Drosophila melanogaster: one gene and its partners. Changing the gene in region 1 together with any one later gene gives a genetic interaction. Each region holds a gene or a part of one and is shown on either strand. Other genes may lie near its edges. The genes, in order: EcR, babo, ari-1 and mys.

Region 1 (5,409 bases):
TTTGGCAGTCGGCCAAGAGGGAAAAGGATAGTGGAGGAGAGGGGAACGAGACGTGTGGAGGAGTGGAGAATGTGGGGAAGGACGAAAGAGAAGAAAATCATCATAGACGCAGTTATGGGTTGCAGCTGTGTTTGTATTGGTATACCCAAACAAATAGAAGTAGAGAAACATAGGAAGAGATAGAGAGAGGCAAAGTCTCTTTCACGCCCCCGACACCAAGCCGCTGCCGTCCCCACTACTCAGCTGTCATTGTTGATATTTTGTGTTTTCATCTTGAACTTTTGTGGTTCAATGTGTCTAGCCAACCCCAAACAGAGCGAAACTCACCACATGCTAACCACTGTCACCGTCAGTACGACCACCCCCACAGTCCCGCACCACCTTGCCCTTGCATTTTGCCGGCTTTTCTATGCGTATGCGTAGAGAGCGAGGTCGTCTCTCTCGCTCTGGCAAATGCAATTCTCTATTGCATTCTACACTTGAACTTGCCCAGCGTCAACTCAACGCACACAGCGACGTTAAGTAAATACGTAGCGATTCGAATGATGGGGCTGGTGGTGGGGGGAAGGGATGGGCAAACAATTATCTGCAGCGATGTGTGCGTATCTGTATCTGAGTATCTCAGCTCGCTTTGCGCTGACTTTTTAACCACAATGTATTCGAAACGTGCAATTTATACGTCGCCCAGCAGACGGCGGTGATACGTGTATGTGTATGTATACATACGTACATACTCATAGATACTGTTGTGGCTGTTAGTTTGATCTGCGTTCTGTTTACCCTCCTGGTGATCTTTTTCCTTTCCGTCAATTACGTCTCGTAGTGTCAATATTCTGCTTCAAACAGCGGTGTCTACTGACTTCAGGTGGATTTCCCTTCCAACGAATGGAAAACAGTCCTTCGGAGGACTCTCTATGGTTTTCTAACTCGATCTTATTTATTATTCATTCAGCTGACGTGAGAAAGTATTTTTGGCCACATGAAACGTTTTCATTGTTTTCTTGTTGAGATATTTGCTACATATATGTATTCAAATAATAAAGTTTAAAGGGACACTGAAAAATGCAATTGATGTTAGAGATTATTGAAAATAAAACTTGGAATGTATCGAAAAGGTGAAGTAGAGAGACTGTAATTTAAGCTAAATATTTCAACTTATCCTACTTTTAATTATTGCAAGTTGTGGCACTCCTTCCGATTTATTATGGACCCTTTCGTCCCACTATGCGAGAATATTTCAAATGTACGTACATACGTGTGAATTTGCACTTGTGCACCCGAAAGTAGCGATGAACGAAAACGAACGAAAAAAAAAAACAATAAATAAATGTAGAAAACCGAAAATAAAGCAGCAAGAAATGAAAGCGATGATGGCACTCATACTCACGCATACACGGCCATATACGCTCGCACACAACTCACAGATACGTGCCGGAGAGCGGACAAAGAGTATTCCACGATTGCAATTGCATCGGCATTTTCATTCAAGCCGCTTGCTCAGAGTGTGTGTCTGTGGCTGTGTGAGTGAGTGCTGCCTGCGTTTCACATTTATCTTTAGCGCCGATTCCGCTTTTAACTCTCGCTCTTTTAGCGCCATGGTGTGCGTGTCTGGTGAGTTTACTTTGGTGTGCGTGCCAGTGTGGTGAGTTTGAGCGTTTAACATTCTGCTCGTCTCGCTCATTGATTTAGTATTTTTTTGGACTTTGTTGTTAACGGTTGTTCGCTCGCACGTACGAAGCCCGATCGCGTTCGTCAAAAAACAAGATACAAAATACAGCACACACAATTGAAAACGACAACCTAACAGTACGGTTTCCCAAAGCACCTTACATTTCAAAACCGAAAACCCCCAAAATGTTGTAACCAAATAATGTTTAAATCACATATACACCTACATATATTTATGAAAAATTGTTAGACAAATCCCAAATAATACCAGTTCCCCCAACAACCGCAACAAACACAAGTGCAATTCATCGGCAAAAATTAATATAAAGTGCAAATGCATTGTAGCTGAAACTCAAACAATAGTAAAAATACATACATAAGTGGTGAAGAAGCAAAAGGAAATAGTTCTTAAAATAACGCAAATCGAGAGCATATATTCATATTTGTACAGATATTATATGGCGGCTGCATAGTGCAAACTGCGGCTGAGGGAATACAGCGGTATCGAAATGTAAATAGGAAACAACGAAGCCAGAACTCGAAATCAAACATCAGCAACGTGACACACAGACATAAGACGCCCGTCTAGTCGTGGTCTGTGGAACGCTAGCTCCGCTTTGCCAGGAGCCGGAGACTTTTTCCGCATCCACAATATTACATATGTACATATATCGAAGATAGTGCGCGAGTGAGTGAGGGATTTGTGCCGTGGATCCCGATCCCCTTACATATATATAAAGGTAGTGAAAAGATTTTACTCAACATTCCAAATAGTGCTTTGTCAACTGGAATACCTTTTGTTCAAATACGCAGTGGGCCCATGGATACTTGTGGATTAGTAGCAGAACTGGCGCACTATATCGACGCATATGGTGAGTGTGGGCACCTTGGAATCCAATAGAACCAAGCGCTTTTCCATAACAACATTTTGTGGTCAACTGCTTAACGAAAGATCTGAGTTAGGCAACAAGTTCGCTGTTCGGAGCCGAAAACTATTTTCGATTTGTTCAGGCCCTAATGTGTTTGTCTTGGCGCACTTGTCACTTCGCGTGCGCAAAATCAATTTCCATTTCTTATTCATCCAGCCGAAATGAAAACTACATTACCATTAGATCTTTTCAATGCCAAGATACACAGATCATATGTTCGCATAGCTGAATACATGCTGTACATACAGACATTATGATGTCCCAAAAAGATACACATGCTTGGGATGGGGGTTCGATTGGCAATACATTAATTATGGTCATGACAACTGACAGACGGTCAAGACAGAACGTTGAAAATTGTGTATTTCGCCTGCGTAAACATAATCAAGCCTCTTTCGGGCCACCATAGATCCCCGGTGTAGACGAATATGTGCATGTCGGTCTAGGAAAGCACTCGACTGCGTAATTGGCATGTATTTCCATAAATTCAAGTGGGCATTCAGTGAATTCAGCCAACAGATTTACTCTGATTTTCACATATATTCTGTTGATAAGGTTTAATTCGGTGTAAAACGTATTCGATTTATTAAGTGCCGAAAGAACGCTCAAAAATGATTCGATACAGATTGGGCACTTGAATCGTGTTGGAGAAGGTAAAATTGTGGAACATGTAAATGCTGTTCGTCTGAAGAGACTTCACTTTTTGGATCCAATGACTTCAATTGTTAAATGTTCAATTCTACAATAAATGTGTAGTATTTATTTATCTTATTTTTGGTATATTGTTTAATAGGTACTGCGATATATTATTATACATTATAAGGCGAGTCCTCTTGTGCGCTTGGGCTTCCCTATTTTAAAGCGCCTAATGAGGCATTAGGTAACAGCATTAGGTTTGCGCTTAGGTTCCAGTAAAGTCCCCAACATTAGTTTGACTCTCCCACAATTAATTTGTTCCATCCCCCCGACGACACAGACTTACCGCCACCCGTTGGCCTTCGTTTCCTGGGCGGGTCTGGTTAAACTTTCGACTTCATGGCTCTGTTTTTTGATACCCTTTACTCACACAGCATTTAAGTTCTAACGATGACTGAGCTGTGCAAGTTTATTTTTAGTCTCGGCCAAGTCCAATCTAAAGCTCCTAGAAATTCGAATAAGCTCAAAAGCCCTAAGCTGGGTTTTTAAATGAAATTCCTCTACAGGATGCACATAATTCAGAATTGTAGATTTAGTTTTAAACGTGCTAGCGGGTATCTTTTAGTCGAAGCACTCGACTAAAGATTCTCTTTTCCAACTGCTTTTTGCACATTAAGTTTTTCGCTATTTCTTCTTTGCTACACTTTCTGGACACAAACAAAGAGCACAAAAAAAGTAACTTATATCCTATGGCGTCGACAACTTCGTCTTCGCTGCTGTTGTTTATGTTTTATGGGACATTAAAGTGGCCAAATGGCAAATTTTAATGCGATTTTATGCAAATATATAGACACATGTATGTCTATACATGGGATTCAGTGTTGTGGCTTCGCCCAGGCTGAGAAAACCGAGTTACCAGTGCTTTTATGTCGAACCCTCTATGCATTTTTACAATAGTTTGGGGTTCTTAGCTAAATGACTTTGACATGAAGAAATTATACAAGCAAATGGAAACGATCAAAAGATCTGCTTAGTGTTCTGAAAGTCCTACCACAGACATAACAACAATTATGACTACCAAATCCGCACGAATTAAAATGACCCTGGATAATCGAAATACCTTATTTTATATCACAACTGTTTCCAAAGTGTCACACACAACCCCCCTTTAAAAAGGTTCAATGTAACCGCGTCTGGGGGCGACGATACTAATGGGTGCAGACCAGTGGGTCACGAGACAGAACACCACTCCGTTCTTCATCCCCTGGATGGAAATGGGGAACGGGAATGGCAGAAATGGCAAACAGGTGCCATTGTATGTGCTCTTGTATCAATTGCATTGAGTGCCTTATCTTGTCAGCCTTTTCTAGCTGGTTTTCCTTCCCGTTCGGTCTGGATGGACCTAATTTGTGTATGTGCGGTTAAGAGTAGCCTGCCATAAAGCAATCGAGCTTGGAATGAGTTGTGCCTTCTCCCCGACGCTCTTGTGGACTTTCACAGACCAGCAACAAAGTCGAGCTGCCAACACTTTCGCAGACAATCGCCAATGACAGAGAGTTTCCATGACTTTCCACAGTCCAGACAAAACAATTTTATTGTTGTTGTAGATTAGCCGAGCAACGCGAAAATGAACGTAGTTGTAATATAAAGCAAGGTTTAAGTCTTGAAAAACTTGTTCAGATTTTTTAGGGGCAAGCGGATTGTGGCGTTGTCATTCTTAGCATTGACTTTTTCCCTATAACTAATAAACTTAATGGCTTATGCCAAAAAATTACACAAAAAAAAAAACGTTTTTCGTTAGTTGTTTTCAGTATCTTTCCCGAACATGTCTGGTCAATTCAAATTAATTATTTTCATTAAAACAATGTCTTATCCAGTTCAGTTAGTGAGGTTTATTATTTCCTAAGCGTCAACCATGAGTATTGAATCTGGTTTGACACAATGCGCTGTCATTTTATATTGGGTTTAATGTGTCTTCTTTGCTGCCGAAAAGGTCAGACCGTTAGTGTTATTGATTAGAAATGCAAATCGTAGACGCCGCAGAATGGAAGAGAGACACCAACTAACCGGAAAAGGAAATGATTCAAGCACATTTTTGAAGCCGGGCCAGTCAACACTAACCAGTTTTACTACACTTTGGGCCAGCTGTGACTCGTCTATAGGGTTTTTCCTCTTG
Region 2 (5,215 bases), 2.8 Mb from region 1:
CCTCCGAGTTCAGATCTTCATCAGAGGAGACCTCATCGTTGTGTGGCCACAAACAGCTCCTGGACTCGCACTTCAGCAGCTGCTCCTCGAGATTAATGTAAAAGTAGCGCAGCTTGTGATTCCTGCCTTCACTCTGGCACTCCAGACACTCGTCTCCCGGCTGCAGTCGCTGCATTCTCAACGACGATTGTGGTGGTCCTTGGTTTGCCCGGCCGAAAAACTCAGAGGTTTCCCCCAGAATGCGCATGCTGTTTCTGCCGTTTGGCTGCCTGGTTTAATGTGCGTGTGCTCACCTGACCGAAGGTTAAACGGAAAGCGTACAGGCCGAGATTGCTTGTTTTCATGGTCCGTTCCAGTTCCAAATCGAGCAAATCGGGACCTGCAACAGTAGTAGACACGGTATCCGGTTATTCGAGCTTACATAACATCAATTGATTTTTCCCCGACTGCGTGCGCTTTGCTCTTGTTCGCTCATTGCTGGCGTTCTTTATCACTTACGTTTCGTTTGGCAATGGGAACTTTAGTGCTCGGCGCTCTCTGATTAACCGCGATTGCAGGTGCAGCCGATTAAACCAGCAACGTTGCTAAAATTTGGCGAGCAAATGAAAACCAAGAAAACTAAACGATCTAGAACTCATGTGAGTAGCGGGCAAGTGCGAAAGGGACTCGAGATTAGAGATGGGACTTCGAGTGGCTGCGATAGTATCGATCTACGGAGCACTTGCCTGCTGCGAGAGATAGCAGGGGTATTTTTTATTTTTATGCTTCATATTGTTAAGAAATCAACGAAAACTTTGAGCGTTAAAAAGAAGTTTCCTTACTTCAAATTCTTGTTGCATTTCCAACGCTTTCAGAATTTGAAACTTTGGAAATGTAACATCTTTAAAGTTGATGGGAGTACACATGCAAAAATATTGCGGGATCATTAAAAATACGAAAAGGTATTTTTCAGACCAAGCACACTTTTTTCTTTTCATGATATGTGTCCAATAGACAACTTGTCGGTGAAATGGTAGTTAAAAACCTTTATAGTGGAAAATATAAATTAAAGAATATCAGATTAAAACCCAAAGGGCAAAACGGTGTGACCGTTTTAGAAGCGAATTTAAATTTTGCGCTCAAATGTCAATGTTGCCACACCAACAGAAATCTGTATTCGAAATAATTTTACTGATTCTTTAAATTGGTAAATTATTTCAGGCCCAGCAACCTGCGACAAAGCCATCCCAAGAAAATATAAATTGAACGAGTAACCTAACAAAAAGTTTCTGTCAGCTGTTTTATATCGAAAAAAGTGCTGTTTTCCAACACTTCGTTTGCAGTCAGACAAGTTATCATTTCATAATTCGCAAAAGGAGCTAAATTCAATATCCGTACGAAATGAAGCTATCCGAGGGAGTTAAGGATCGTTTGGGATTTGTGGTTGGAGTCGTCCAGACTGGATTCCACTGGGGATTCGTGCCTCTTGTGCTGTATTTGGGTAAGTTGTGGTTCATGTTTTTTGTAATCTACACGCGGCTGGGAAGAAGAAGCAGCGGGGTAATATCAAATGGACCGACATTGATTTTGACCAATTCTCATTTTCGCAGGATTTATGAAGGGAGCTGAGCCTGGCATGCCGCCTCTGAACCTTTTCAGTCTGTTATGGCAGTAAAAATAGTGGACATGATCATTTTGCTGTCGTATGCCCCGCATTTTGGTTCTGGTTGGGTTTCTGGGAACGGGTGCAGTACCTGCAGCTATTGCAAATAAATATCTGTTACAAAACAAATCGAAATTTTTTTATGTATCCTGGAAACAACCAATATTTTAACAAAAATCATTGTCCATAAAAACATAACCGATTGGGCATTTTTACGCACTTCTCTAGCGGGTGGGTGTTTTTCATGGGCAGTCCAGCCTGGGCACACTACTGCAGGTGCGGTCACACTGTTTGCAAATCCACACACACCAGCGCGGTTTTTCGCTGCACAAAATTGTACATTTAAGAAAAAATAGCAGCAATTAATATAAACAAACGGTTGCCCCAGACACCCGAAAGTGCCGGCTGTCCCGCGGAATATGAAATAGTGCCACTTCCCCCGCGCCACTGCCCCAATCACGTGATGAAAATCCGCCTGAAAAGTCGCCCTCGTCCGTGAAATGTAAAGCAGAGCAGAGCAGTTTTTCCAACCAACTTGTGCGGAGTGTGGAGTTCGAGTTTCGCATTGCGGGCCCCCATCGAGATTCGCTAATTGTGAGAATCGCCAGTCTATATTCCCGGCCATGCCCCCGCCAAATGTGGGAATTCGCGGGCGCCTGTCCTACGCGATAAATGCGCAGTTCGGGGCCAATTAGTGGCTGTCTGAGGTGTCCTCCTGCCGCTCCTCCTGCTCCTGCGGCCCCGCCTCGTCCTGCCGCGAAACAACAATCTCATTTGCAGGCCACAGACTTTGAACTTGCGACGCGCGTGTGCGTGCGTGCGATCGTGGAAAACAAAAGAAAAGCTCTCGGGCTGCACAAACAATAACAATAGCTCGGGTCGGGTCGCACACACTATCGTCGGTGCGAATAGCCAACATGTTATCTGCGCTCCGGCTAATCTTCCTGGGCGCTCTGCTCGGCGCCTCTGTTTGCGGTGAGTGTACCCCCCAGCGGTTCCATTAATCTGGATCAGGTGCGAAACTAACCTAAAATCTCCCCCGGTGCAGCCTCCCCCATTGAGTTCGTAATGGACACCAGCCTAAATGGCTCTCGATCTGATCCTGCGACTGCAACCCACCCTGGCAAATGGCCACCGACGACCAAAGCGCCGGCGCTCAGGGCTCCAGCTGGAACAGCTGGACATGCTTATCAGTCGCCATCGTCGTCGCTGGCCGCTGATAACAGAAGCCACGACAACAACAACGCTAGCGCCGTGTCCATGCTGCTGCCGCAAGACGGCGACGCATCTGGAGCTGTGGCCCCTGCTGTTACTCCCCAGCTGCCCATCTACATTGCTCAGCCTAGCGCGAAAAAGCCAGAAAGTAAGTTCCGATTGCCTAACGAGAGTGTAGAGCACACTGCGGACAATGCACCCCGAATTATCTAAACAACAAGAATGTGATAGATTTACAGACTTGTTCCGGTATTGCCTTGCAAACATTTTACTTGACTTCAGTTAACCAGGAAAGTCAGCACAGAGTAAAGGTCATTTTACTTCCCTTTTTTAAGGTGAAATCCATTATTGGGAGAAGATAGAAACCGCTTAGTGGTTATACCTTACTTGTCCGATATATTGACATTTTTGTTGTTGTTGTTTAATAATTAAAATATCTTACCAAGGGTTACTTAATACTTGGCGATCTTTTCGATGCCATAGGGATCTTTTCTCCGTGTGTATATCGCGTGACTGTAACACCTCAAAGACTCTGAACGCTTCTAAAAGGCCGTCTTCGTCTGCGCCTGAGGCTCCGATTCCGTTCCCATATAGTGACGTCACCTCTCCGTGGTGTCAATGAGCTGAGCCAGACAGCTCTCATGGCCCACTCCAACGCTGCCTGGCTGCAGACACCCCCACGTCTGGATGCATTTGCTTGCTGCACTTGGGCACTTGCAACTGCAGTCGGTGCAAAAAAAAGCAGGCCTAAGCACTGGCACTGGCTTCTCGCTGTCCGGGGGAAGGGGAAACTGGTCGCATTGTCTGGCCCTCCACTTTGCACTTGTCTTCTCCGCGTCTGCTTTGTTAATGCTAAATGGTTTTGTTTTTGTTTCATCACGCTCTCGGCGGTGTCGGTGGCGGTAGATGTGGATATGGTAGTGGCTATGGATGTCTATGTGACTGTCTGGGCGAGCGTGTGCCCGGCCAGGTGCCCCGGGGGCATGGTTATGGCAAATCCCAATTTGTGGTCAGGAGATGCCAATCAGCGAGTGGTTGATTTATGGGTCTCTTATTTCTCTAATTAGTTAATTTCTGCCAGCGCCTAATTGATTGATTTGCTTCAATCGGAGTCGGGGCATTTTCTTAATTCGAGAAGTTTGCTACTGCTAACCTATGCTTTTGCGTTTTATTTGTTTAAATAATAAGAAAATCATTAACCGTGGCAAATGAGGCGCGGACCTCTTCCTTTGCTTACCTTTCCACAAGTAATTAATATTCATTAAATATTACAAGAAACACGTGCTTGGTTAGGATCACCTACAAATAGTGAAGATATATCGTTAAGCGAAGAATAAGTTTTTGTTGGTGAGTCGGTTTAAAGTTAACAAATTTTTGGTAGGAATGTATGGATTTGATAGTACTCTAAAGTTTGGTTTTTTGCAAATAGATCTTTATATTAATTTTACCTTTTATGTTCTGCAGACAAGATAAAATGCCACTGTGACACGTGCAAGGAATCGAACAATATATGTGAAACGGACGGCTTTTGTTTCACGTCCGTGGAGAAGAACTCTGATGGGAGCATCATCTTCAGCTACAGGTGAGTGCCGAGAGCCTGAGGAGCAGGCCTTTGATTAGGTTAGCACTTGCCCCTCAGAGCAGCCAGTGTGAATATGTCTGATACGATCGATCTATCGAGCGATGCAGATGTCTGCACAAGTCTCAAATCTTTCCGCCGGGCCGCTCCATCTGGTGTAACGACGGGCTGCACGGCGGACCAACCGCCCGCCCAGTGGGTCGCAATGGCGCCCACGCCTGCTGCAAGGACAGGGACTTCTGCAACCGATTTCTGTGGCCAAAGACGAAGGACCAGAGGAGTGATCGTGTCGAAGAAGGGCGGCAAATCTCCGTCCAAGGTGCGTGCGCTTATGCACGTGTTTCGCTCCCAAAAACCCCTCCTCTCTGACTGCTCCCATTTCTCTGTTCACTCGCACGCCGTTCAACAACCAGTTGCCCAGTTTTGATCGTTCTTTGGACTGTTTCCCCCACTTATGCTCGTTGAGTTGAAGTTTTGAAATGATCATAACCCCAAATGCAGAGCACTACTAATGATGACCTGCTGAAAACCAGAGCGGCGTTACACACACTGTAATCAATATAATTATAATACTCTTCTTGCTACTAACCAGACTGCCACTTCAATTAGCAACAAGCCGAAGGCGGCAACAACTACAGCTGAATCAGAATCAAAATCAGAATCAGATGCAGCAGTAGCAGCATCAGCAGCAACCAACAACCAATGCCAAGCAATACTAATTTCGTATAATTGTTATTTTATTTTCTCTATCTCCCGATATTTCCTTCGCTCCCTTCGGC
Region 3 (8,343 bases), on another chromosome or scaffold:
ACAGCAGACAACTATAAAACGCAGCCGCAGCATCAGCGAAGATAAAGAAAGCAAGTTCGAGCGAAAAAATCACTACATGGCGGTTGATTGCCCTTTTTCGTTAAAGAACTAACTTCGTAATTTAATTATTTCAAAAGGGATGTAATGAAATAAGCGCTTTATCGCTACTTCTATATTTTTTTAATACATTTAAAAATCAAGCGCAAAAAGCCTTTTGGTGGCTTTTAATCATATTTAAACCTTTGGTTTTATACAAAAAACTGACAATTTAATAAATTCCCAGAAGGATTCTACTATAATTGAATCGGGCAGCACAGACTGGCGTTTCGTGTAATAAAACTTGCCAGCAATTATGGCGTGCCTAATGCAAATTGTAATTAATTCCTGAAATGCAAATTGGAACAATGTATGTATATATATATATGCTTGCATAGGTAATGGCCAACATGGATACATACATATGTATGCATATGTATTAATGTATAAATATACATACAAAGTAATTTAATCACAATTATATGCGATGGCCGGGTTTTAGTGGCAACTGCCTGGTATTACTATTCATAAATGAAAATGACTTAAATACTCCCAATGGAGCGGTGCATTTTTCAGCTGCTTTTTTGTGGCGAAAAAAAAAAACAATGCAGCCATTCATGCGCTCAGTGCATTCGGTAAATTTAACTCAATTGATTGAATTACAATCAAATTGTCATTTTCATTATATGCAAAAATGGTATACATTTTGGTTCATGTTAAAAATGCTATTTAGTAACTGCCGTCATGTAATTTTGTAGTTTTTATTTATTGGTTTTATAATTTCTACAAATGCCTAATATTAAACCAATAGAAAATTATTGAAAACATTAAAATATTTACTTCTGTGTAATGAGGCAAACGCCCAATCAATTTTATAACCATTTTTTTCTCATTAAAAATGTGTCTGCTGTATTTATTTTGCATGCTGATTATTTCCATGCAATCGGTTTTTAGTTTACATATGAATTTTAAGGTGATATTCGTTTAGATATTTGTTTTGATGGTGAATCCTATATCAGGGGCACAAAATAAGAGGCACACAGTGTCCTCGTTCGTTACGGGCATATCCTCTCGCACAATGGCATCCCGATGGGTTTTTCCAGCACCGCTGACTGAACTCCTGGCAGAAGGACTCGCATCGGCAGATCGGGTTGCTCAGACGGCACTCGTAGGGCCCACAACTTCCGGATCCGCCCAGGTCGGCCCGTATGGCTGCCACCATTAGAAGAAGAAGAAATCGAACTGCCATCCAACGAATTTGCATTATGACCGCATTCTGATTAAGCCAGCTGGCTCTTTATATACATACCTTATACACAACAACAGTTGTCAGGTGTTGCAATAAAAACACAATATACAATAAAAAACTTTAAGTGAAATCGAATAAGGCGCCCATTGCCAGTGCAACTCTGTATCAACCGATACAGTATCGATAAGGTATCGATATGGCATCGATACATCGATGTTACAACAGAGTGGCAATTTACCATTGAATTTGATTAACGGTACTTGTGAAACAATGAAAATTGGGACAGTAAAGTTTAAAATAATTTTATTCAAATATATTTTTAGCTCGTGCGAAGTTTTAGCAATTTTATATTGTTCGCCACTTTAAAGATTAAACTCTAACCGCAAACAACCGGAGGTTGCAGTTAAAAACATGAGAAAACGTTTGAGTATAATATCTTGACAGTCGAATAAAAGATCTCAATAATAGATCAAGACGCCTAGTTATCCTGATCAAGAATATGTGTACTTTATGAAGTCGGAAGCGCTTTTCAACGAATCTAGTATACCCTTTAATTCCAAGAATAATTAATAATGTTTAAATAACAATATTTATTTCAAACAGGTTTATGTCTCGGATTGGAATTTGACACTGTGGTTCGTGCCTTTGAATGGATCCCTTCAAGTCTTGTTCTGTAAAGGGATTTTCTCAAAAACTGTTTCTGTAAATTAAGCGCATGTCTCATTTTTAAGATAATCTCTTTTGATGAATACACTGAGAATCAAGAAAACGTTCATTGGAAGCTCACTTGTTTTTGAATCTACTGTTTCCCAGCCGTCGATAAGTCACTATTGCTTTTTTGGCACCCATCGATAAGCAGATGTTGTTAAACATACGATTTAACGGAACGGTATGAAACAGGCGGCAATCGGAACGAAAGTAAATGGGAAAAAAGCGCAAACATGCGCACACACTTTCACGCACACTTGACTCCACTGTGCGAGCGCGTGTGTGTGTGTGTTATTTTTTGAGAAAAGCAAAGAGAGCAAGTGAGAACCAACACCGATGCAAATCATTTTGTTGGCTTTACGGTTAGTTTTTCGTGAAAATTCCATTTAATTTGTGCATTGCAACCGAACTTCGCGACGAAGGCGAGCACGATTAGTGCAATAAGCTAGTGTTTTTTCTTTGGAAAAGTGCATAGAAAAACAACAAAAAGTCATAAGCTTTTCGACTGTGCCTTTGTGTACGTGTGTGTGGCAATACACACGTAATGTGCGCATGTGTGTGCGCAGTGTGCTGGTGTGTGCCATTACCTTGAAAACAAAATAATCTGCCCTAAAGAAAAATGCATTTGTGTACATAATTTCGTTGTTTTTTTTTGTTTGTCCCATCGACGTTCGGTCGATTTTACATGATTTTACACACACATGCACACATTTAACATAGTGTTGTTCGCTGTTAAATCAGCAGTTCGGCCCTGTTAAGCGCACGGGCCAGTGTGACCGTTCTTCTTAAAAATACCGAACCAGTATGACTGCGCTGCGACCGTGCAGGGTCTCGTATTGTCATTAGAAAATCTCACATATTCATTTTTCATTTACAAATAAAAATAGCCAGCACGCAGCCTACAAATTAGCAGCGCACAAAATAAGTTAGTGTGAAAAAGGGAATAGAAGCTGTGCACCAAGTGCAGCGACCAAACACAACTGGCCACGCCACTGCGAGGGCAGCAATAATAACAACTGGCGAAAAGGGCTGCGCAAAAACGTAAACAAAAGCAAGTGGAAAACGAGGCAAAGGAAAACGAAAAGACAGAAACAAACGCAAATGCAAATGCAAAAGTAAAATACTGGAAGTAAACGCTGGAAAACAAAGCCTCGAAAGCTGAAAACAAAGAGGAACGGAAGTGGTGCGGGAGGCGCAAGAGGAACAGGAAGAGGAAGAGAGCAGAAGGAGCACCAGCAGCTGAAGCAGAAGCAGTAACGCAAAACAGAAACCGAAAAATGGACTCGGACAATGACAATGATTTCTGCGATAATGTCGATTCGGGCAACGTCTCCTCGGGCGACGACGGCGATGATGACTTTGGCATGGAGGTGGACCTGCCAAGCTCCGCGGACCGCCAGATGGACCAAGATGACTACCAGTACAAGGTGCTCACCACCGATGAGATTGTGCAACACCAGCGCGAGATCATCGACGAAGCCAATCTGCTGCTGAAGGTATGGCCAAGCGCAAGTACAGTGAACACCCGCTAGTATAACTATCCATCCGCAACTTAACTATCAGTCCTAGGGCAGCCATAGAGGTACATTCTTCACCCAGTCCAGACAACAAAGATAGGCAAGCAGTCACCTTTGATTGCTCTACAGTCAGGCCTTCCTAGCAGGAACATGTTTGTTTCGACTTTCGTTAGCGCTGCGATTTGCAGTGAAAGCCAAATGGCTTGACATAGTTTAGTGGCGTATAGCTGCCAAGAATATCTGATCTGTTCGCCGCTCGGAGGCATCACTGTGTGCAGCACAGTGCATTTGGGCATGTGTATCCGTGAATCGCTTTCCCCACCCCTCGCTCTTGCCGCCCACCGCCCTGCCTGGGATCTGGGATAAGCTGAAGGTCGTCCGCTGATGACTGCCAGTGCCAGTGAAATCGGAACACAAGCACCCAGGCGCACCCAAGGTCGCCAGATCCGCATCCCATATCCGCATCAGCAGCTGACTTGCCCGAAGTTCACTAGCACAGTTTTCACTTTCCCAGATTTCGGGGGATTCCCTTAAAATGGTATTATAGATTCCATTTCAAATGAATACATTAGGATCAATGTAGAATCCATGTAATACTTTTTTGTTTCATTGACATTTAAACATCAGAAAATCTTTCATTGCAATAATAAGCGAAATTCACTTAGCTTGAGTGTTAACTTTCAGTATTGATACAGATCATGTATGTAGCTATCTAATTGTTAGTTAAACAAAGCACCTTTGAGTAACTCTTCCCTCTAAAATTGAATTGTACATACATACGTACTTTTTCTCGATTTCCAAACAAATCGATTAGTTATTAGGAATGCCAAGAAATGTTATATATCCTAAAAATTATACTGTTTAGATAGACCAATTGCCAGTGGTAGTTATAGTGGTTCCACATCACAACCCCATCCACGATTATACATAGGTACTGCTGATCATACTGCTGCTGATCGCAAATGATTTGGCATTGATTTCGATGCCAACTGGGATGCAGCCCCCGCTCTTTTACCCCATATATGTACATATGTGCCATCATCCACTGACATTCGATTTGTTTTGTTGTCTATGGCCACAGCTACCCACACCCACCACACGGATACTGCTAAATCACTTCAAGTGGGACAAGGAGAAGCTATTGGAGAAGTACTTCGACGACAACACTGATGAGTTCTTCAAATGCGCACATGTCATAAATCCTTTCAACGCCACCGAAGCGATCAAACAAAAGGTGAGCCCAGTGCTAAGGCTCCATTTGATGTCTCATCTAATGCGTTTCCCTTCATTTTCAGACCTCACGCAGTCAGTGCGAAGAGTGCGAAATATGCTTTTCACAGCTCCCGCCAGATGTAAGTTGTCATGGAGAAGGGATGAGTAACTCCGTGACCTAATTGCGGTGTAGAATATATTTTCCCGCTGATTAACCACGAATATTTTGGGGGGAAACATGATTTTTTAACTGGTCAATGGTGCCTTATCTGATGACCTGATAATAATGTTAGGGCGTTGCTTTGCTATACAAATCTAAAATATTCTAAAAAGACTTGATTTGTATTTTATCAATTATTTTTATTGGCTTACGTTATCACTAATTTACTTGCTTGATTTACAATTGTTGATTGTTAGCCTGAATTTGGTTATGTAAGCAGTTCAGCAGTAATTCGCTGGAATCCAACTGTCTTGTGGAATCAAACATTTAATAATGTAGTTTAAAAAGTAAAATTTAGTATCACGTTTTAAAAGAGTAGATTGCAATGGGCAACTTTGGGTTATAACAGCAAAGTAAACTTAAATATATTATAGACAAGCTAACTAACAAATACTCAGAGCGTAAAACACCTATGAAAAGTTTAAAATTACCATACGCTATGTAGGTGGTTTTAATTTGCTGTATGCTTCATCATTAAGCTCTCATAGTTCGCGTGATCTTTAAGTATATATTATAGAATACGATTATAATATATTTATAATATTGTATACTCTTTTGCTCCACAAGCAACAACTTCAAGAATATCTACAATGTATACTAATAGCTACTTTCTCTTCGTTCCATTTAGTCCATGGCCGGGCTGGAATGCGGACACCGATTCTGCATGCCCTGTTGGCACGAGTATCTGTCAACGAAGATCGTGGCGGAGGGTCTGGGCCAGACCATTTCGTGCGCGGCGCACGGCTGTGATATCCTGGTGGACGACGTGACCGTCGCCAACCTAGTGACGGACGCACGGGTGCGGGTCAAGTACCAGCAGCTGATCACCAATAGCTTTGTGGAGTGCAACCAGCTGCTGCGCTGGTGTCCGTCCGTCGACTGCACCTATGCGGTGAAGGTGCCGTACGCGGAGCCACGTCGCGTCCATTGCAAATGCGGCCATGTCTTCTGCTTTGCCTGCGGCGAGAACTGGCACGATCCGGTCAAGTGCCGTTGGCTAAAGAAGTGGATCAAGAAGTGTGACGACGACTCGGAGACGTCCAACTGGATCGCGGCCAATACCAAAGAGTGTCCCAGGTGCAGCGTGACCATCGAGAAGGACGGCGGCTGCAACCACATGGTGTGCAAGAACCAGAACTGCAAAAACGAGTTCTGCTGGGTGTGCCTCGGTTCTTGGGAGCCGCACGGCTCCTCCTGGTACAACTGCAATCGCTATGACGAGGACGAGGCCAAGACGGCCCGCGATGCTCAGGAGAAGCTGCGCTCCTCGCTGGCCAGGTGGGTCATTCGACTGTGAACGATGTCACAGGATAGGAACCCCTTTTGTTTTTTTTTTTTTTTAAGTGATACTTGTTGTGTATTATTTTCGCAGTTCGCTGATAATGACGGTTAGCGGTTTATTTTATCTGCTAATTTCTTTTAAGAAAAGATAACGATTGAAAGCCGTAGAAAGGAATGAATCAGCTATAATTCGTAATTAAATTTTATCGCTGATTAAACCTGTAGAATTAGAAATGCTAAAACTAATCAAGGAAACACGAAAGTATCTAGGCAGAAATGTGAAAGTCATTATGGAATAAAACTCAACTGATATATTATCTTCTGCCAAATCTACAGATATCTCCACTACTACAATCGCTACATGAACCACATGCAGTCGATGAAGTTTGAGAACAAATTGTATGCATCTGTGAAGCAAAAGATGGAGGAGATGCAACAGCACAACATGTCATGGATTGAGGTAAGTGGTGAAAACTCGTGACCATAACAATGCGAATTCAGCACACTCATTGCAATTGCAGGTGCAGTTTCTGAAAAAGGCTGTCGACATACTTTGCCAGTGCCGTCAGACTCTCATGTACACGTACGTGTTTGCATATTACTTGAAAAAGAACAATCAATCCATGATATTCGAGGATAATCAAAAGGACTTGGAGTCGGCAACCGAGATGTTGTCGGAGTATTTGGAACGTGATATTACATCCGAGAATTTGGCTGATATTAAGCAGAAAGTGCAAGATAAATACAGGTGAGCGAGCGAGCCATGTCCGTGTCCCCAACATACAAACGACTCATTATCCAAACATTGATTGGTCTCTCCATTCGATTAGGTATTGTGAAAAGCGGTGCTCTGTTCTGCTGAAGCACGTGCACGAGGGGTACGACAAGGAGTGGTGGGAGTACACAGAATGACGCGAGTCATGGCTGGATAACTAAGCTAAGCCGAGCGGCAGGCAATCGGAATGTAGTGCCCGCTAAGCGCCACCCCATCCAGCATCCGAAATGCAGCAAACACTGTCCCCATCCACATACCGACCAACATCCGCCAAGCCACGCAACACACACACACACACACACACACACACTCACGCACGCACGCACTCACGCAGAAATCGAAGCCGAAGGAGTTGAACAGAAGTTAAGGATAATGCAGAAGCTACACAGAAACGCAAGAGAAAGGAGACTCGAAATTCCCAGAAACGCAGGATAAATCCCCATACAAGAGTTGCAAAGCAAAATTGAAGCCATTTCAGAACACAGAAGCCAGAAGGAAATCACCATAAAATCGTAATATATATAAATATATATATTGAATTATATATATTTTTCTTCGTACTAAGCAAGAGCAGCAGCAGGACACGAAGAAGGACAGGATCAAATAGACACTACCAAACACATACTCACACACTCCCACACACACACACACACACACACAGAACCAGTCACAAGGCTCAGAAGCAGAATAGATATATAGTAAATAATCAACAGTTAAAAACTTATTTGATGTTAACCGATTGCAAAGAAATCTTCATGTTATAAAAACCTAATGAAAAACGAAACAAAATGCAAAAATTAGTGAATTCAAAGCTACACGCATGATGAGAAGCCAACAATAGAACCTAAACTTATGTGAAATAAACAAACTACACATGTAAGCAGAAACACTCGCCCAGCTTCCTTTCCACCTGCCCAACTTCCTTCGACCAAAGACAATAGAATAACAAGATGCGTAACGCAACGCGATTTTTTAGCACACATTTTTTTGGCAATGGATCTAGAAGGTGGCTCCAGGCTCTCTCGAATTTTTGAGAGAGAGCGAGAGAGTGGAGAGCGCTACAGCAAATAGCTCTTTTCTACGTATACAGTGATAGCAGACAATTGTATGTGTGCACACGTATGCTTATGCATTGTAAATTTGACCCCCTTCTTAGACTTTAAATCTTTATTATTTTTGATCAATTGGCACCATGCTAAAAATTCTTGTTTTGCATTGCCTTAACGTTATTATTATTTGAAAATAGATTAGAAATAGCCAAATCTATGTACATATTATCACAAAATAAATTTCAAAAATTACTTTATTAGAATATTTGTCATTAGAGTATTCAGCTTGCGGCGTG
Region 4 (5,507 bases), on another chromosome or scaffold:
ATGACTAGAGGGGCTATTGTACGCTACAATAGACAAATCATAATTTTAACAAGTCAAATACGCTGTATAATATAATATATAAATACAATAATTTAATAGGCCTTAAAGAAATGCACCATCAACTGACGGCATCTGGCATCATCTTCAATCAGCAAAATTTGTAGAACTATTTCCAATTCATGGTTTTCCTTCACATTTATGTAGGTCATACTCACTTTTTGGGAATGGTCGAGACATAGGGCATGAGCACCTTGTCCACAAACGAACCGAAACCAAGATGGAAATTGTTGGTGATGCGTTTCATGGTCTCGGACAACTTGTCGCCCAGCGTAGACAATTTGGCCTTGTCGTCCTCCATAGATTTGGAGAGATCCATCAAGTAGTAGAGATCCACCGGATATCCCTCCGCCTGGGAATAGCTAATCTTGATGTTGTGTTTCTCATCTAAGGTGTATTGATAAGCAAGTAAGGGATTAGTTTGTAGGTCACATGGATGATGCAATCGTTTGCTACTCACTGACGCGCAATGCGAGTCGCATGGACTGCGGTTGGATTTGGACAATTTCGCCGGCAGAGTACTCTTCGTATCCGCTGGCGGAACTGGATCCCGAGGAGCTCTGCGAGTAGAAGCTCGACGAGCTCGAACTCGACGAGTAGGAGCTTGAGCTGCTGCCGGACATGGCGGAGCCGCCGCCACCAGCCGCCAGTTCAGCTTTGTATTGATTCGTTAGTTTGTTGTTCACTAGAATCTGCTCAACTGTTATCGGACTGTAGGCGAACTCCTCCGGACACAGTGAGCTGGTGTTTTGGTAGCACCGCGACTGGCCCTTAAAGTCCGGCTGCATGCACCAGGCGCAACCCTCTGTCTGGATGCAGGTGTGACACTTTTCCTTCGATGCACATGTGCTCACTGCCGTCAGTTTGGCCGCCTTCTGGGCATCCGTTTGTCCAGCGATGGCGGCCAGTATTGCGATCATGAGGAGGGCCAGCTGGCACCTCCGGTTTCTCTCGAGGATCATGGCTTTGGCGGTTAGCGGTTGGTGCAGGTTGTGGATGATTCGGGATGCAGGAGGATCGGATATCCTTGGATGTGCCAGGTGCTGTGTGTGCTCTGTCTCTGTCGCTTCTGTGCGCCGGCTGCAATGGTAAGTGAATTAAAATTGTTGGATTTAGCACTAGATGTTAAGTAAGGGGCAGAAATTATTATAAAAGCCATTCCTGGTTCACTTATATTTCTAATGCTACATATTTTATATTATTTTTTTTTATATGCCTTAATCTTTCATTTATTTTTAAGACACAATTTGATTTCTTCGATTTCGCTGCAATTTTTACGAACGCCGGTGTACGTAAAAGTCCAGCTGCTGACTGCACTGCTTGTCGAGCACTGCTTTCTCCGCGTGCCCTGCTTTTTTCTTTATTGCAACAACAAACAACAGCAAATGGCCGCACATCTGTCCCCTTTTTTTGTTGTTTCTTTCGCTCTACCTTAATGTTTAATTTTATTTTCTCATCAACTTGGCCAGATGACTCATCTCACAAACACACACACACACCAAGCGATTGATGTACGAACTTGTGTGTGGGTGTGCGTGCCTGCGTGCTTTTGTTGTTTTTTTTTGTTGGCCTCCGAAAAGAAAAGGAAAAAAGCGGAAGGAAGAGAGCTTTCGATAAACGTCAAATGCAATGCGAATTACTCATTCGAGCACGTTCCGTTAGCACGCTCTCTCGCTCTCTTGGCTCCTGGCAAAATGTAAACAAAGGCCGAACGAACAATGAGTGGTCATTGAGTCAGCTTCGCTGGGTTTCCTTTCCGCCTAAAGCCACATGAATCACTCACTCCAAGCCACTCAAGACTCAAATCAAAATTCCATATGCACGGAACGGAAAAAAAAGGGCTGCAGATTACGTATACGTATGGGTGTTGTGTTGGTCGGCTATTTTTAAACGCCCACGCACACACAACACAACGAACACTAACACACCACAGAGCTTGATTTGCAGCAGATCGTGTGCCGAAAGGAAAACAAACTAAAAACGACTAAGCCCATGTTTATATACCCTTGGATTGAATAATTTCATTCGATTATCATTTATACACCCAGTCACAGCATATCAAAGTTATGAGTTGTGCACTTAGTAGTAGTTTTAATCAGTTTTTTAGCTAGCAAATTCGTAATACTATAAACCGCCTGAGTAAACAGCATCTGCAGCGCATAGTTTCAACCACGGATGGACGCCCACAGCCATTGGGCCAAAAACGAGGCACATCTGGGCCGCCCACATGTGGGCGTACTGGTTAAACCAGCGGCGCGCAGAGGATTTCATTTTTTTTATTGTTTTTTTTTTGATAGCTTTGGTAAAATTGGTTTTTACTTCCAGTTACAGTTGGTTTCAAATTCGGTTGGCTGTTTATAAAGTGGACAATTACCCCGAAAATCTGGGCAATCCCCTGACAAACACAAATTCCTGCTGCTGCCACTGAGCTCTTGATTTTTGTACGCTCTTTTCGCTTCTGCCTACGTACTCTACTCGATTTTTAGTTCGAGTGCAAGATCTCCGGGGTGGGGAAGTTGCACTGAAAAGGGAGGGGGCGTAATCAGCAATTGGCGTCGCGAAGTCGCCGATATGCACACTCAAAGAAATAAATAAATATGATGAATAATAATAACAAAAAAAATGAAACGAGTGAATGTATCGTGAGGATTCATTATTTTTTTTAGCTCAACAAACAACCCACACACAGATACGGCGTTCGGTGTGTGCGTGCCTGTGTGTCGTCACTGCGAATGAAATCATCGAAAAAAGAGGAGATAAAAGTAGCGCTTCGATATTGCTTCCTCTTTTTTTGGGCAAATGCAGCCCGGAATCCATTGATTTCTTACGTAATACCCACTATTTCACCCGCTATCTGATTAATCGCAGCACTTTGGCTTAACTTTCGCTGCGTTTTCGCTGATAATTCGCGATATTAATTTCCATCAGGGCGGCACTTTTCTTATTTTGATTTGCCTTCTCGCACACTTGTGGAGTTCCCACTCACACGCACACACTCGCACACTAAACACTAGCACTGTGCACACACGCAGTTATTACAATTACTTGCCACCGTTATTCGCTAGATCAGCGAATTTAACTCTTATCGGGTGACACGAAAAACCAAAAAAAAAAATACAATTCGACTGCAGAAGCAGCAGCTGAAGGCCGCCAATTGGTGTCGGGAATTGGATTTGGATTAAATTAATATTTACTGCTTTGCTTTGTCCGCGGATCTGGTCTGTTGTTCAGTGTTACCAGATGGTGTCAGCAGGGGGTGGAACAACAGTCAATGTTCTTTCGATATTTGCCATCCGATGTTCGCCAGTGTTGTTAAATAGCTCTGGTCACACCGAGCCTAGGAACAGTGTTGCACAGTTTTGGAGGACTGTGTCTCCGCTAAAAGAGACATTTGTGCTCGCAAACACAATCCGATAAGTAATCGAGAAACACGTAAAGGAACTCTGGTTATCGGAGTCACTTATTGCACGATAGTTTCAGACAAAAACGCCTGCTTATATCGATGACAGCCTTGTTTTTGTTGCGCTTACGTTACGAAATTAATGTAAAGTAGCCGACGAATCTACGTTCTACCAGTATAAATGGATTAAAACTAACAACAGCATAAGTGTAAACTGCTGGTGAATTTCCCAAATAGCCATATGAAAAAGCTAAAAGTACGTGCAAATGGTTGAGAAAAGGAGAGAACGAAAGCCACTATGAGTTTGCGAGAGTATGTGTGACTACTTTGCTCTCTGGCTCTCTCTATCACACACACTCGCACAGAACGCTCTTCTCACATGCTCTCTCTCGGCCGGTAGCTCTAGCTGTCCCGCTCTCGATTTATCAATAAAAGCAGTGCGTTAGAGCGGCATAGCCGCATGTACCAAGCGCGTGCGCCTCGTGCCCGTCGGCTGTCCATGTGTGCGTGTGTATTCGCATTTTCAGTAATTTCGAAAAAAAATTTTGTATATTTGATGGCGACTCAGAAGAAACTCGCGCGTTTGTCGAAAAATCGTAGCGCGTACGTATATATCGGTGTGTAGAAATTACTAAAAATTGTGGTAAAAAATGGCAAAAATTATATAAATTTGTGTTCGAAGTGGAGTGCTAATTGCGGGGGATCAGATGCGAATGGAAAAATGTTGAAATTTATAAGATTTTAGCGCCAAAAAATGCATTTGAAAAATGTGAGACTTCAATGGACATGACAAATTTTTTTTTTCATTTTTTTCGGTGGTGGAACAAAAGCGAACGAAAGAGGAGCAAGAAGCAGAAACGTTCGTCAGTGTGTGTGCGTGTGTGTGTCGAGTGAGGGGGCATGAGCATGAACGTGTGTAGTCACCAAGTGAATAATATTAACAAATAAAAGAAGAAAAAACGAAAAAAGAGGAATACACACGCAGAAGCGCGCGAAAAGTTTCACTCGAAATGAGAAAAAACAAAAGCAAAATATACTAGCGCTAGTTGATTTTCGCTAGCAAAAAGAAACCGACGTGCACATTGAAAATCTATAATTTTGTCGATTTTGTTATTGTATTTTTTGATTTTGCGGTTTTGCGGCGCCGTCGGTAACGTTAGCATACCGTTACGTGGCCTACGTAGCGTGGTGACGTACAGAAGACGCTTACGTTGTGGGTTACGTTACATTTGTCGCTGGGGATTTTACTCTTTCTCCCTCTCTTTACGCCACACTCATTCTCTGGCGCGCGCAAATCCAAAAATCTCGAGAAAAAAAATAGTGCCCGATGTGACCAATATTTTTTGTTTTTATTTTTACAGTTGCAACTTTTTAACAATCGTGTACAATCTGTATGTTGTATATGTTCAATTCAAAATTCAGCAACAATAGCAACAACGCAATTCAGCAACAACAACAAACAAAACCGACAAGCTAAACTTGGCTAAGACAAAATCAACATCCAGCGGCAGCGCGGCCATAAACAAAGCCAAAATCAAAAGTCATTCGGATATATACATATATTCGCCCATAATAGCGAATAAACAGTAACAGAACGAGTGGATTTAACGAAACAACAAAAAGAAAAGAAGAACGATAAAATCCAAAGGAAAAGTAAGTTTAAAAAGTGCAGCGCACGTGGCGTTTACCCCCGCCTCCTCCACCACTAGCCGCCCACCTTCGCACAGTGGAAAACGACACAAGAGCGCGCCTCTTCGGTTTGCCCCAAGGACACTTTGCATTTTCTGCTAGTTTTCGAGTATTTGCTTAGGGGTCAGCAACCCGGCAAAATGGAGGGAAATTTCGACACGACAGCTGCTTTTCCCCGGATTTATTCAACTGCCGCAACAACCCTTTTTTCCCCGTGGCCTGGGAAAACGATGCATTCCATGTTTATTTACAATTTAACTGTGCAATAACTGAGATACCAAATGTTCCCAGGGTGATTTCGAATTAATCTGCTACTTCTACTGATCCTAGATTTCTTTTAACTCGAATGCAACATCATATC

The links.
Region 2: of EcR (region 1) and babo, changing one suppresses a phenotype caused by changing the other (phenotypic suppression), as found in Drosophila melanogaster (2 studies listed by BioGRID).
Region 3: of EcR (region 1) and ari-1, changing one suppresses a phenotype caused by changing the other (phenotypic suppression), as found in Drosophila melanogaster (one study listed by BioGRID).
Region 4: of EcR (region 1) and mys, changing one enhances a phenotype caused by changing the other (phenotypic enhancement), as found in Drosophila melanogaster (2 studies listed by BioGRID).

Annotation. Positions count from the first base shown.
Region 1 is NT_033778.4:6,128,197-6,133,605, reverse strand, and holds the start of EcR (ecdysone receptor), read left to right. Parts: upstream 1-1,764; 5' UTR 1,765-2,488; coding exon of another isoform or gene 2,489-2,540; intron 2,541-5,409. UniProt on the Drosophila melanogaster protein: Receptor for ecdysone. Binds to ecdysone response elements (ECRES) following ecdysone-binding, and recruitment of a complex containing the histone methyltransferase trr, leads to activate transcription of target genes.
Region 2 is NT_033778.4:8,950,413-8,955,627, forward strand, and holds the start of babo (baboon), read left to right. Parts: upstream 1-1,926; 5' UTR 1,927-2,559; coding exon 2,560-2,617; intron 2,618-2,690; coding exon 2,691-3,005; intron 3,006-4,321; coding exon 4,322-4,439; intron 4,440-4,546; coding exon 4,547-4,755; intron 4,756-5,215. Other genes in the region: CG33199 (uncharacterized protein), read right to left, coding at 294-344; CG8229 (uncharacterized protein), read right to left, coding at 1-175; Tom7 (translocase of outer membrane 7), read left to right, coding at 1,381-1,480, 1,590-1,654.
Region 3 is NC_004354.4:18,131,588-18,139,930, reverse strand, and holds the start of ari-1 (ariadne 1), read left to right. Parts: upstream 1-2,245; 5' UTR 2,246-2,355; exon of another isoform or gene 2,356-2,566; intron 2,567-2,791; exon of another isoform or gene 2,792-2,880; 5' UTR 2,881-3,270; coding exon 3,271-3,489; intron 3,490-4,591; coding exon 4,592-4,744; intron 4,745-4,805; coding exon 4,806-4,862; intron 4,863-5,570; coding exon 5,571-6,220; intron 6,221-6,559; coding exon 6,560-6,683; intron 6,684-6,744; coding exon 6,745-6,971; intron 6,972-7,053; coding exon 7,054-7,135; 3' UTR 7,136-8,343. Other genes in the region: CG43229 (uncharacterized protein), read right to left, coding at 1,052-1,300. UniProt on the Drosophila melanogaster protein: Atypical E3 ubiquitin-protein ligase, which catalyzes ubiquitination of target proteins together with ubiquitin-conjugating enzyme E2 Ubc10.
Region 4 is NC_004354.4:8,059,470-8,064,976, reverse strand, and holds the start of mys (myospheroid), read right to left. Parts: upstream 3,333-5,507; 5' UTR 3,252-3,332; exon of another isoform or gene 2,897-3,251; intron 1,138-2,896; 5' UTR 1,020-1,137; coding exon 518-1,019; intron 445-517; coding exon 216-444; intron 1-215. UniProt on the Drosophila melanogaster protein: Integrin alpha-PS1/beta-PS is a receptor for laminin. Integrin alpha-PS2/beta-PS is a receptor for Tig, wb and Ten-m. Contributes to endodermal integrity and adhesion between the midgut epithelium and the surrounding visceral muscle.